3 linked regions of the Oryzias latipes genome follow. The protein of the gene in region 1 binds, or shares a complex with, the protein of each later gene. Links are inferred from orthologs where the notes say so. Each region holds a gene or a part of one and is shown in the gene's direction. Other genes may lie near its edges. The genes, in order: washc5, washc1 and washc4.

The links.
Region 2: washc5 (region 1) and washc1 share a complex: the UniProt entries of both Homo sapiens proteins name them as parts of the WASH core complex. The link is inferred for Oryzias latipes from reciprocal best matches to the Homo sapiens genes WASHC5 and WASHC1.
Region 3: washc5 (region 1) and washc4 share a complex: the UniProt entries of both Homo sapiens proteins name them as parts of the WASH core complex. The link is inferred for Oryzias latipes from reciprocal best matches to the Homo sapiens genes WASHC5 and WASHC4.

What each region holds. Positions count from the first base shown.
Region 1 is NC_019874.2:13,936,034-13,940,691, forward strand, and holds the start of washc5 (WASH complex subunit 5), read left to right. Parts: upstream 1-1,583; 5' UTR 1,584-1,640; intron 1,641-2,430; 5' UTR 2,431-2,502; coding exon 2,503-2,688; intron 2,689-2,868; coding exon 2,869-3,014; intron 3,015-3,597; coding exon 3,598-3,682; intron 3,683-4,224; coding exon 4,225-4,325; intron 4,326-4,467; coding exon 4,468-4,658. UniProt on the Homo sapiens protein: Acts as a component of the WASH core complex that functions as a nucleation-promoting factor (NPF) at the surface of endosomes, where it recruits and activates the Arp2/3 complex to induce actin polymerization, playing a key role in the fission of tubules that serve as transport intermediates during endosome sorting.
Region 2 is NC_019864.2:19,200,361-19,204,751, forward strand, and holds the end of washc1 (WASH complex subunit 1), read left to right. Parts: intron 1-865; coding exon 866-1,002; intron 1,003-1,089; coding exon 1,090-1,225; intron 1,226-1,304; coding exon 1,305-1,500; intron 1,501-1,597; coding exon 1,598-1,771; intron 1,772-1,864; coding exon 1,865-2,023; intron 2,024-2,628; coding exon 2,629-2,697; intron 2,698-2,787; coding exon 2,788-2,930; 3' UTR 2,931-3,490; downstream 3,491-4,391. Other genes in the region: ATP-dependent DNA helicase DDX11, read right to left, coding at 3,602-3,649, 3,727-3,881, 3,962-4,037, 4,127-4,211, 4,288-4,388. UniProt on the Homo sapiens protein: Acts as a component of the WASH core complex that functions as a nucleation-promoting factor (NPF) at the surface of endosomes, where it recruits and activates the Arp2/3 complex to induce actin polymerization, playing a key role in the fission of tubules that serve as transport intermediates during endosome sorting.
Region 3 is NC_019864.2:31,040,501-31,044,490, forward strand, and holds part of washc4 (WASH complex subunit 4), read left to right. Parts: intron 1-1,589; coding exon 1,590-1,744; intron 1,745-1,829; coding exon 1,830-1,904; intron 1,905-1,970; coding exon 1,971-2,075; intron 2,076-2,146; coding exon 2,147-2,281; intron 2,282-2,501; coding exon 2,502-2,610; intron 2,611-2,677; coding exon 2,678-2,744; intron 2,745-2,868; coding exon 2,869-2,955; intron 2,956-3,100; coding exon 3,101-3,248; intron 3,249-3,313; coding exon 3,314-3,410; intron 3,411-3,990. UniProt on the Homo sapiens protein: Acts as a component of the WASH core complex that functions as a nucleation-promoting factor (NPF) at the surface of endosomes, where it recruits and activates the Arp2/3 complex to induce actin polymerization, playing a key role in the fission of tubules that serve as transport intermediates during endosome sorting.

The sequences.
Region 1 (4,658 bases):
ATGGAATAAATTAGCAGTTAAAATCAACTAAAAGGGAAATTAAAAAGGTGGGTCTGTATTGTATAGAATAAAAGGGATGAATCCTCTGAACATCAGAAATTAAACGCAGCTAATATGATATAAAGTTGTGTTGTGAAGTTTGCAAAGCCATTTTGGCACAAAGATGTCATCTTTGATTTAGCTGAGTTTAAACCTTGCTCTGGTGCACAGTGAGGGAGCAGGTCAAACAAACAGCTGTCACCATGCAACCGTTTTTATCCTTCGGGACGTTCTGCTTAAAGGAAGAGAATGCCTTCAGGTGAGACTTATTGAGCAATAAAAGTCCAGTTCAATCGGTGCCTGAAGGTGACATTAGAGATGAGAGGCGCAATCGAAGGAGACCGCCATGCAGACAGGATGGACACAGAGTGACAGACTGAAGTATTTATGGGTAAAGTTAATTATTTGTGCACCCAATCTTTTGTCAATGAGTGTGTTTACATGCGTTTGTTTGACCAAGTTAGAATAGATTTTCTAACAGGTTTCCTAAATTTCATTTAAACCACAAACCTGGTGTCCTTATCTAGCGGGAGAAGGGTGGGGAGAAGGCAAAAAAAATTGTTTTCAGGACGTGACATGCCCTGCTGGCATACAACATGGGACGAAGAAAAAAACAACTTGATTGAGGGCAACATGATAATCTCTAAGACCGATGTAGTTTGTGTATGAGAATTGCCAAAAACAGTCTATTACCTCATTCAATTATGTGTGGCATTATATATATATATATATATATATATATATATATATATATATATATATATATATATATATATATATATATATATATATATATATATATATATATATATATATTAGGCCTATGTTTACATTTTTTCCATTACTTTGTAAAAGAAAATGCAATGGAATTTTATTAGGAATTGTATTATTATTAATGTTATAATTATGTGAAAATAATAATTATTATTCACATATTATTATAGTCATTGTTATTAGGACTTTCATTGTAGTTGTATTACTTTGTATTGCTTTGTGTATGTGTGTTATTTTGTTGAATAGAGATTTTGGTGGAATATGCACATGTACACACTACATACATGTATACAGTCAATGATAGAAACACATTTGTTGATGGGACAAAAAGTCCCAGATACTCAGCAATAATGTGAGTTTTATTTCCATGATGAAGGAAACGTATTTTAATCATTTTATTTTTAGATTGTGTCTGAATCATAAATGTAGTTTGTCTTTACTGTATCAAAGTGATGAGTCCTCAATTTTGAGTTGGTAGAAAGGAAGCGACAGCAGGAAAAATCTGAGGATTTAGTGGATCTTTGTCGCCACCTAGAGACATACAAAAGGAACAGCAGGAATCTGAACTAATGCGGAGACAAAAAAAAGTGTATTTTGTGAAATAACTTTTCATTTTAAGAAGCTTAAAAATGTAAAGGATAGTTTGAAGTTGATCACATCATGATAAATATATCTAAGACTTAAAAAAAACGGAATAATCTCTGAAATAGTGAACTCGTTCTCACATTTTTCTCCGGCAAACTGAGTAATAGAAATCTAACGCACCCAGCAGCGCAGTCATGTGACGGGTCATGAGGAAGTAAACAGGGAAGGGGAGCTCCAAAAAGGTGAGCACTTTTGGCCACAATTTCCACCATAGGGAGATTACAGTTAGTTCGACACATAAAACTAAACATACCTCTTAGTCATAAGTGTGCATCTTTGCAGATATTTATCCGTTTGGCGCGATATAACGCCTTATTAGAACAAAAAGTGTGCAACATGCTAACGTTAGCATCATCCAGGCTGAAGTAACAGATGGTGCATATTGTCTTTAAAAGCAACCTTCTCACATTCCTTAACGTAGGTTTTATGATATATTTAATATGTGATACATTTATTTTATTTTGAAGCGTCCTGACATGCATTTTAATATATTTATTTTATTTGATCATTAGTTACAGGTTTGTATAGGTTAGCTGGTATATTTCCAAAACAAAAGAAAATATTTCTTTAAAAAAGCCTCTCAGGATTATGACTCCTTACATTAAAGAGCAAATACATATTTGTTTTTATGCTTTTATTGTGGAGAAAACGTTATTTTTTTTCTTCATATTTTACATGAATTCATTATCCTGTTTGTATGATTTCCTTTATGAAGCAGTGTTTTCTCCCCTTCTCTTTAAGTCATCCTTACTGCTTATTTTTTTAAAGCTTTATTTTGTAATAACTCTACTTTTCTCAATGAACTCATTGGGTCTGATGGTTACCTCTTAAATTCTCTACAAGTATGAAGATTTTATAAATCCATTAATCCTAAACGGTTAGTTTTAAAAAAAGAAAAATGCGTATTTTCTGTGTTGTTTACAGGCGGCTTTTGTGTTAAATGCTATCCTTTTTTTAATTTTTTCTTTACAGGATAACCTGGAATTTTATCTTTAGAAACCGAATAGAGTTGCTGGCGGCTTCTGTGATCTGCATTTGGCTGCTATGGTGGACTTCCTGGCGGAGAATAACCTCTGTGGCCAAGCCGTCCTGAGGATAGTTTCCAGAGGGAATGCAATTATTGCAGAGCTCCTGCGTCTGTCTGACTTCATCCCCACAGTTTTTAGGCTCAAGGACAAAAGTGACCAGCAGAAATATGGGGACATCATCTGTGACTTCAGCTATTTTAAGGTGAAAACAACACTTGGAACGGCTTCTGAAGTACTTAGATAAAAAAGTCTGATTTTAGTAAAAACCAAAATAGGTTTCCTTGATTAAAAGATTTTCCTGTGTCGTCTTCTTTTTCTACATCATCTTAAAAATGAACAATCACGTACATGACATCCATTTCCTTTACCAATGTGTCTTCAGGGTCCAGAGTATTATGAGGGTAAACTGGAAGCCAAACCGGAGCTTCAGGACTTGGATGAGGAGTTCAGAGAAAACAACATTGAGATTCTGTCAAGATTCTATCTGGCTTTTGAGAGCGTCCACAAGTATATTGTGGATCTGAACAGGTACAGCATCTGAAGCTGCAGTCCGGTTCACTTTAAGATGATTATATAAATGAAATTCTTTTATCAGGTCTGAAATTTGTTCAGTTGAATAACAAAACATAGTTGATAAAACCTACCGGTAAGTCACTTTATTCAACTTTTTTCTTAAATACACTTGTGATGGTAAGTTTTTTAAAATATTTTTGATCTGTAATATTGTTTAGTTGATTTAGTAAACTCAGTTTAAAACATTCAAGCCCTGCAGAATTTGGACAGATTTCTCCACAGTATTCAAATTTTTTGAAATTCTGTTTTTGTGGGTTTGATGAGCTGGAACTCCAATTTATGTCTAAATAAACAAATACTTGAAATAATGATATATATAATATATGCAAAATATTTTTGTACCAAATTGAAAAAAAAGGAATGCATTTGAGTCATTAAATCCTCACAACCTGCTGCATCAAATCCCACTAACTAGATGTTGAAAAGCATTTAGATTTGAAACAAAATAATAAAGTGTTAGCCAAAAAACTGCAATTATCTTAAAGAAAAGAGGAATTAGCAAAATGTGTTTGAAATGCTTTCTTTTTTTCACTTTCAGGTATCTGGATGACCTTCATGAGGGCGTTTACATTCAGCAGACCCTGGAGACGGTGCTTCTAAATGAGGATGGGAAACAGCTCCTGGTAAGTTCATGATAGAGGGGAAAGATCCTTCAATTTCCATTTTAAATACATTCATAAAATTCAATTTTATCAGTACAATTTACAGAAAGAGAAAACTACACGTGGCAGCTTCCAAAAAGTGGTTAATTCTAGCTAATAAAAGTAGTCTAAAACAATAAAAAGGATTATTATGTACCGGTAAGTAAATTACAAGTTTAGGAACAGGCTAACAGTGGATTATTGTGCAAGGCTGCCAAACCGTCTTATTCTGCAACAAGTCATGAAGGGAATAAGATTCCTGACATTTAAAAAGTTTGAGATTTGATCAATTATTACGTTAACTTTTGAAATTTCTTTTGACAAAACCACACATTAATTGTCTTGTGCAAAAGAGTTTTCCATCTATTCTTTTTTTTATTACTGCAAACAGCATAAACATTTTCAACAATAATTCTAGCTCACTTGGGGAAATTAGATTTAAACAGTGGATAAAAGTAAAAGTGTGGCGTTGGGGTTTCAATGAAGCAGTGCAGCTGATTTCAGGGGCTTTCTTTTTCTCTCAGTGTGAAGCTCTGTATCTGTACGGCGTCATGTTGCTGGTTATCGACCAGAAAATCGAAGGAGAGGTCAGGGAGAGGATGCTGGTTTCCTATTACAGATACAGGTGACCCACACAGCCGCTCATAGACACAATCTCACCAACTCACTGCTCTCTGTCTGAGCCGGAACGGTCACCGCTGCACACAGACCTCAAACTCTGATCACGTTTATCTGCTTGTGACTTTTTTTGGGGGCGGGGTTTGTAGTGCCGCACGCTCATCAGGTGACTCCAACCTCGATGACATCTGCAAGCTCCTGCGCAGCACCGGCTTCTCCAGCCAACCTGGTGCCAAACGGCCCGCCAACTACCCCGAGAGCTACTTCCAGAGGGTTCCCATCAGCACCACTTTCATCAGCATGGTCATTGGGAGGCTGCGCTCAGACGACATCTACAACC
Region 2 (4,391 bases), on another chromosome or scaffold:
ATTTATTGTTTGCCACTGGATGAAAACTTCAGTTATAGTATGAATTTTTTTTATTTTTATATATTTGGGACTTTTTAAAATTATTATTTAAACCTTTCAACGCTTGAGAACCCACCGGGTCAAGTTTAGCTGTTGTTTTTTTACTTTTTTTTTTTTTTTAATTTATATATATATATGTTCTAGTTATGTATTATCATCTTATTAGCCACTGCTTGTTGCTTCTACCTAAAATAAAAAGACAAAAAATGTGAAATTTACTTTTAAAATCCCAGAAGAAAATTGATTTGGGGTTCTTTGGAGCAAAGACTGAAAGGAGCTAAAATGAAGGCATTCCTTTAGGGTTTTTATTTTTATTTTTTTCAGTCAGATCAACAAATCCTGGTTTACTTTTGCACTCCACTGTTGCATACTGTATTGTATGAAGTACTCCAAGCTGCGTTAGCCTTTAAGTTAACTGTGTGTGTTTGGGTACATATCTTACTCTGCAGCATTTTATAACAAACCCCACAGTTTACTCTGAAGCATTTCTGGAAACTTTGCACCAGCTAGTATTATCTTTTCTGCTGCATGAGCTTTTCCTTTTTCTTTTCTTCGTTGTTGCAGTTATGTGTATTTTTGGAGGGGTGTTTGTGTGTCTGTGTTAGTTTGTCAGCCTGGAAGGAAAAGAATAACCCAATCTCACACAAATGCATTATTCAGTGTGTTTTAGAAGCAAGCTCCCCAGTCACATCATTTGGTGTTTCTGTGCTTGTGGGTGTGCGCATCTCCGCACAGAAGCACTTTAGTGGCAGTCGTCATTTGCATCGTTTAGGATTTCAAAGTTTGTAAAAAAAAAAAAATCTAATTTTGACTTTTTGTCTTTTAGGAGAAGTTAATGCATTTCCCATTGTGTGTGAGCAACAAGAAGAAGTCTGAGGATGAGGCAGAGGAAGGACTGGGCAGTCTGCCTCGAAACATCTCATCTGTCAGCTCTCTGCTGCTCTTTAATACCACAGAGAATCTGTGAGTTTTAAACACAAACACACAGACGGATGCTTCTGCTTGCTGCCAATCTGTGCTTGCATGTTTACGCGTGTGTTCTGCATTTAGGTATAAGAAGTATGTGTTCCTTGATCCTCTGGCGGGAGCAGTGACAAAAACGCACACGACACTGGAGACAGAAAAAGAGCAGAAACCCTTCGATGCTCCTCTGTCCATTACGAAGCGAGAGCAGCTGGACAGACAGGTTCTTCAACGACTGAGCACGCTGCAGCTTTGCTGCCGTCAAATGTAGGATTTATCTTGATGAACTTTTTCTTTCCTAGCAGACGGCAGAAAGCTATTTCTATGTGCCAGACTTGGGTCAGGTCCCCGAGATAGATGTGCCGTCCTATTTGCCCGACCTGCCAGGCATCGCAGACGATCTGTCATACAGCGCAGACCTCGGTCCTGGATTTGCACCGTCAGGTCCCATACACATTCCTGAGCTTCCCTCCTTCAATGATGACAGTAGTGCACCTGGTACTGGACTAATGACTTTTTTATTTCACCAAACATGCTATTCAACCTTTAAACATGTATATAATGATGGGGAAAATGGCTTTCATATGTCTTTTAGGAACCCTCCTTCCATTGAATTCTCCATCGCTCTCTCCACCTCCACCGCCTCCTCCTCCTCCCCCTCCTCCTTCCCTTGCTCCTGCTGCTCCCATGGGGGTCCCACCTCCACCACCCCCTCCTCCCCCTCCTCCAGCGGAAAGCTCCTCAGACGTCACGGATGTGCCAAGCTCAGGTGGGTCACGTCTGCACTCGTGTCACGTCAACTGTGGATTCTGTTCGACCTCATTAAAAGTAACGAGCGCTAGCTCAAACTGTGATGCTGCAGGTCGCATGGCAGGCGCTCCCAGCGAAGTGGTTCAGCCATCAGACGGTCGTGCCAGTCTGCTGGAATCCATTCGCAACGCCGGGGGCATTGGCAAGGCCAAGTTACGCAATGTCAAGGAGCGCAAGATGGAGAAGAAGAAGCAGAAGGAGCAAGAGCAAGGTGACTGTTGCAACCGGCATGTGGATCTATCTGTGGAGGAAGGCCAAGTAGCAGAGACCGCTTAGGTTGACATTTCAGACAAATCGTGCATTTTGTGGTACCAGCGCCAAATCTACCATGGATGTACCTCAGGATCTCCTCTCAGAAAAGCTCGTTTGCCACGAGAAAAATCCAAAATGGCAGCCATTTTGAAAGATGGAGGCCTTTCACTAAATTATTAAAAAAAAAAAATTAATTTCGATTTGCCCCAGTCTGAACAATATGGACTGTTAGTGCACTAAATTGAGTCTTTCGCTTTTTTTTTCTTTTTTAAATATTGAACTTTCTTCTGGCAAATGTGATTTTCTGAAACAGATCTGAATGCTAAATCTGGTGCTTGTACCACAAACAGCTGACATTTTGCTGTCAGCCATGTTATTGTGAGACACTGCAAGACAAATTGAAGACTATTGTTCTTCCAACATGGTTTTCAACTTGATCCATTGCTTTTTTTCTCTCTTGAAGTCACATGTTCTACTTTGATGCAAAGTTCCATCTACTCATTTCATTTAAATAATTGATTGAAGCTCATTCATTTAGAAGCTCCTTGTTTCATCTCTCATCAGTTGGGGTGGTATCCAGTGGTGGCGACTTCATGTCTGATCTCTTCAATAAACTCTCCATGCGCAGAAAAGGTACGACAAGACTTGTCTTTTAAATAAAATATTTTAAAAACTGAGGTTTTTGGAACAGCTTTTGCTTTACTTCCTGCTTCCTTCTTTCAGGAATATCTGGAAAAGGCCCGGCAGCTGGAGAGTCCGGTGAGGCTCCCGCAGGTGCAAGTGGTGCGTTTGCCAGGATGTCCAACGCCATCCCTCCACTTCCTGCCCCGCAAACAGCGACGGACGACGACGACTGGGAAGCGTGACGTGACGTGACGTGCGGCAGACAGAACCGACGTTGTGAAAAAGAATTTCTCGTATTGGCAATATTTGTTTTGATTTTTCAATTAAACAGGACAATAGGACAGGACATTTATAAATCAACTTAAAGTTTATGCAAAAGCTCAAAGTCAAACTACAACACAAATGAACATTTTCATTCATATTTTATTTACGGTACCTTTGATTTATCAATGGGTTCTAAATAAAAAAAAAAAATTGTTGTGAAAAATCAAACTGAGTAACAAGAATGCTTTCCATTTCAGAACAATGTGGATTTTGTTCTTGAATTATTAAAACGTCAGAGTAAGATGTGCCTACCTGTGCTGTGCCTGCCATCCATCTACATTTTTAAGTAGTTCACATTAGTAGACCTCATTTAAGAGGACAAGAGCTAACTTTTCTTACTAAGAAACTGGGTCAGTGATAACCTGTGTGCCATGAAAAAACTCTTTATTCCATTGATGAGCTGCATTAGTTTAGAGCTGAATAACAGTGTTGATGACAGCAGAAAATATGTCACCTGAAAAATAAAGAGCATTTATTCTCAAACTGTTGGTTGAAGTGCTCTTTAAGGTAATGATTTCCCCTAAATATCATTTAAAATTTTTATTTCTTAGAAAATTAATTACCGTATTAAAAAAACAAGTGTTTTCTTTCATGAGTCGTTCTGAAAGACCTGCTGCTGTTTCTTCTCCATGAAGAACTAAAAAAAAAAAAATAAGAACAGTCAGTTCATCAAACGCCTTGGTGATAACAATTATCTTTGTCTGTTTTCCTTACCTTGCGTAAGGCAGCAAAAGCGGGACCAAACGTTGCATATGTGCTTGTGCGGCTCCTGATCCAAGCTGGAAGTTTAGAGAGCGTGGCGGGACGAGAGTAACGCCTGTCACACAGCACTACAGAGGAATAGTCGCCACGGTGACGGATAGCTCGACCTATGGAGACAGACGTCAAAGACGGTTTTGTTGATCAAAAATACCGTGACTTCATTTTCTGCATCTGTTGCCATGGTTACCTATGGACTGATTGACAGCCTTCATGCAAAGGTTCTCTACTAGTGCTTGTCCGGGGCTCTTTCCTTGACTGTGAGGCTAAATAAACAACAATTGTTATTTTTTTTCTGTTAAAAAAAAAAAAAAACACAAGAATTTCTATCATAACTTTATGAAACCAGACCAACCAGGTGTTTGTCGAGGTACGACATCTTCTCCTGCAGCTCTGGGGATTTTATGTTGGGATATGGCATTCCAACCATTACCACACACCTGTAATCATACGGCAAAAAACACATTATGGAACAGAAGAAGCTAGTTGACTATATGCAATAAAAACATTCCACACCTGCCCAGGTCATCAGAGAAGTTGATTCCCTCGCTCATCTTTCCGCCAACCACAGAAAAAAGCAACGCTCCGGTCAGTCCACTGCTTTCCTGAGCGCACCTCTA
Region 3 (3,990 bases), on another chromosome or scaffold:
GTTTAACGCCTCGTGACTAAACAAAGGGCACCAATGAGAGTGTGCACACAGACGCGAAAAAACGCCACGCGTCAAAGCGTCAAAAAAAAAAAACGCCTCGGGTTCGTTTTTTTTTTTGTCGCGTCGAAATCTATTCGACCAATGAGAATGGCGCTTTTGCACACGTGTCTGGAGCTTCTGAAGTTACAGTAAAACACCACTTGGGGGCGCTCAAACACAAAACTTCCTTGCTGAACACACATACCAGCGAAGAAGTTAGACGCCAAGTAGCGTCTACACAGCAGCGAAGAAATAATGACGGACGTTCTTAAATATCCCCGAACCAAGCACCAGTTGGAGCTACTGGTGCTTGAAATATTCATGTTTTCTTTGTTTGATTCTGACTAGCGTGTAAATACTTACTCTCTTCTTCTGAGCGAAAAGCGACTTTAAGAAGCGTAAAGTTGCGCAGCGCCACCTTGTGTACAGGAGTATTTCTGTTTACATTAAGCGCCATCTAACTTCAGGGAATGAAATTGCATGTTCGCTCGGCTCATCGTCAGCGAAAATCACCTGGGTGTGAACACGAAAAACGCTGGCGAATAACGCCTGGCGAATATTCGTCCCGGTGTGTACGGGCCTTTATTCCCACATATCAACTTGCAGCCAAGATGCACATTGCAGCACGGACATCGTGGATTTTAACTGCATCCACGGCTAAATGTTGTTAGCACGTATTATTCTTATCCTAACCCTTTTTTACTGTTTTTTGCGGCCAAGAATAAAGCACTGGCTGCTGAATTTAGAAAATGTATGAGCGAACAGTCACTTAAATGAAATAAAATAATAAAAGCGCAATTAGAAGATCATCTCGCTCTATGCTGCAGCTTAAGGACTCGCCATTTCTTTTATGGCCGTTTATTTCTGCGCATCTCAAAACAGTTGAAGGTGTGGCGTATGTAAACGTTAGTTTGTGAATGTGTGTACACAGTTCAATTCTAATCCGATCTTTGATCCAAACAAAGACATTTTGTGCACGTAACCACAGCTTTTGTGTCATCCGACTCCCTGATTGATCAAAGCTCAGCTGGTTTAACTTTCAACGCGCGTTCAATGCCGCACGTTTTGTACGGATCGCCCAAAAACAGCCTTAAAAAAACGCGTAGCAGCGCATGAACGGGGAAGCCTGAAACACGCCTTTACATCGACTTTTCAGTAGAAGTGGCCGCCGAACGCGCGTCGTTGAGGGCGGCGTGAATGCAGGATGTGAGAAGCCTCCTGTCAGGATGAAGTTCTTCTCTGAGCTCCTGGAGGATCAAACTCGTTTCCACAACAATTTCTGAAACGGAGTCTGTGCTAAACAAGTCAAATGAAGATCTATGTTTTACAAGAAACCAAACAGGAAACGTCTTTAAAGGAAATCGCTCAATAAATGTCTGAATCAGAATCTCATCTTGTCAACAAAGATTGATTGGAATGGACTTGAACCTGGTCCCTCTGTCAGTTTCATCTCCCTGTTTGTGACCTGTTTAGGTTCGGTTCTGATCAGGCTCGGTTTGGTGGCTTGTCAGGAAATCCCGTTAAATGCCGCGTTTTCTCCTCTCCGTCAGCTTATGTGACTCATTATCTGGACAAAACTTTCTACAACCTGACCACCGTCGCTCTGCACGACTGGGCCACCTACAGCGAGATGAGAAACCTGGCGACCCAGCGCTACGGACTCACCATGGCGGAGGCTCACCTGCCCAGCCAGACTCTGGAACAGGTTGGCCCCTCCCACCATCACGGCAGCACGCTGCAGGGGTCAGACTAAGGGTTTGATTCCAACCACATTTCTGTGTTTTCATCAGGGTTTGGACGTTCTGGAGATCATGAGAAACATTCACGTCTTTGTTTCGCGGTTTCTCTACAACCTCAACAACCAGGTGAGTTTTCTCCAGGTGTTCCCGCTCTTCTGCTGGCTCTTCTCAGGTGATGCTTCCCTCCATCAGATCTTTGTAGAAAAGGCGAGCAACAACAAGCATCTGAACACCATCAACATCCGCCACATCGCCAACTCCATCCGCACCCATGGCACCGGCATCATGAACACCACAGTGAGTTCACGGCGGCGAGAGGAACCTGCTTCCGCTGAAGACCCTCAGACGCTCACCTGTCCTTTCTTCAGGTTAACTTCACCTACCAGTTCCTGCGGAAAAAATTCTACATTTTCAGTCAGTTCATGTACGACGAGCACATCAAATCCAGGCTCATCAAGGACATCCGCTTCTTCAAGGAGACCAAGGACCAGTCTGACCAGAAGGTTGGTGTCTTCTCTGGAGATCTGAGATGGACAGATGTGACCTTTGAGGTGGTTTGATCAGCCATGAGAGTCCAAATGACCGGACATGAACCCGCATTCATGAGAAACAAAACGTCCTTATCGTTTGGATTCAAAGTTAAAAAATGTTTTTTCCCCAAACTGCTTCTGTTTTTGCTGTAAAAACCCGATCTGGTGACCCCGCCCCCTCCCCCGGCCGCAGTACCCGTTTGAGCGAGCGGAGAAGTTTAACCGGGGCATCAGGAAGCTGGGCCTCACCCCGGACGGGCAGAGCTACCTGGATCAGTTCAGACAGCTCATCAGCCAGATCGGTGAGAGAGTCGGGCAGCGGGCGGGGTGAAGGCGCCTGCAGCTTCTGACAGCTCCGCCCTCTTTCAGGTAACGCCATGGGATACGTGCGCATGATTCGTTCTGGAGGACTGCACTGTTGCAGCAGCGCCATCAGGTAGAATGCAGCTCTTCACCACTGCATTGGTGGACAACGGTGTGCGGTCGGGCTGAGACGGCGTGCGGTCGGGCTGAGACGGCGTGCAGTCGGGCTGAGACGGCGTGCGGTTTGTCCCCTGCAGGTTCGTTCCAGACCTGGAGGACATCGTGGACTTTGAGGAGCTGGTGAAGGAGGAGGGTCTGTCTGAGGAGACTCGCAGAGCGGCGGGGTAAAACTTCCAACCTTTATTTCAACACTGAGCAGGTTTTGCTGATTGACTGTCATCTGCAGAGGTTGATGTTGTAACAGAAGGTCTGCAGGGGGCGCTGCATCCTCCTCACAGATGATCAGAACATGTTTGGTTTCCTCTCCAGCGTGTTCGACTCGGTCTTGAGTGATCTGACCAGCAACTCTGCAGAAGGGACGGAATATTTCCGGATGCTGGTGACCGTGTTTGCTCCTGAGTTTCGCAGCGCCAAGAACATGCATCTGAGGAACTTCTACATGATTGTTCCTCCGCTGGTCAGTTCTGCAGCCGCACCGCCTTTGAAAGCTGGGCTCATCGCTAACGGCTCTCTCCCTCACAGACCGTCAACTTTGTGGAGCACTCCATCAGCTGCAAAGAGAAGCTGAACAAGAAGAACAAGAGCGGTGCTGCTTTCACGGACGATGGCTTTGCTATGGGTGAGTCTGCCGTGGTCTCTAAGAGTCTTCAGGAGAAGATGTTTCAGAAAAACCTGTTGAACTTGCACTGAACAGAGTGACTGTGTTGAGTTTTTACCCCAGAAAGTAAAATCTGGACCCGGGGGTTCATTCATTCAACAAGGCGGGGTCCGATGACCCGGGTCAGGCGTTCTGCAGTCACCGCCTGGTTTGTGTTGCATCTGTCTTTAAACTGATTTGATCTGATGAAGTATCTGTGGAGGCCCTCATCCATCCAGGATGAGGTCTGTAGAAAAGGGTCATCTGGACCCAGGCTCTTCCATGACAGCAGATTCTTGTCCATTAGGACGCGAATGTTTCTACACATGAAAAGGAGGAGGTCCGCGATGAAGCGACAGTTTTTCATTTCCTGCAGGCTTTTATTTTGAAAGGGATTCCACGGTCTTCTGTTGGAGCATCATTGTGCCGGTGGTGTGAAGGCTTAGCCCATCCCGGTACCCCGTCCTCAGTGAACGCCTGCTGGTTCTCTGAGTTCTCCTCAGTCACATGAGAAGGTCACGTCGGGTCATCGGCGGCCCCTTCAGAGGTCCAACTCCCTGAA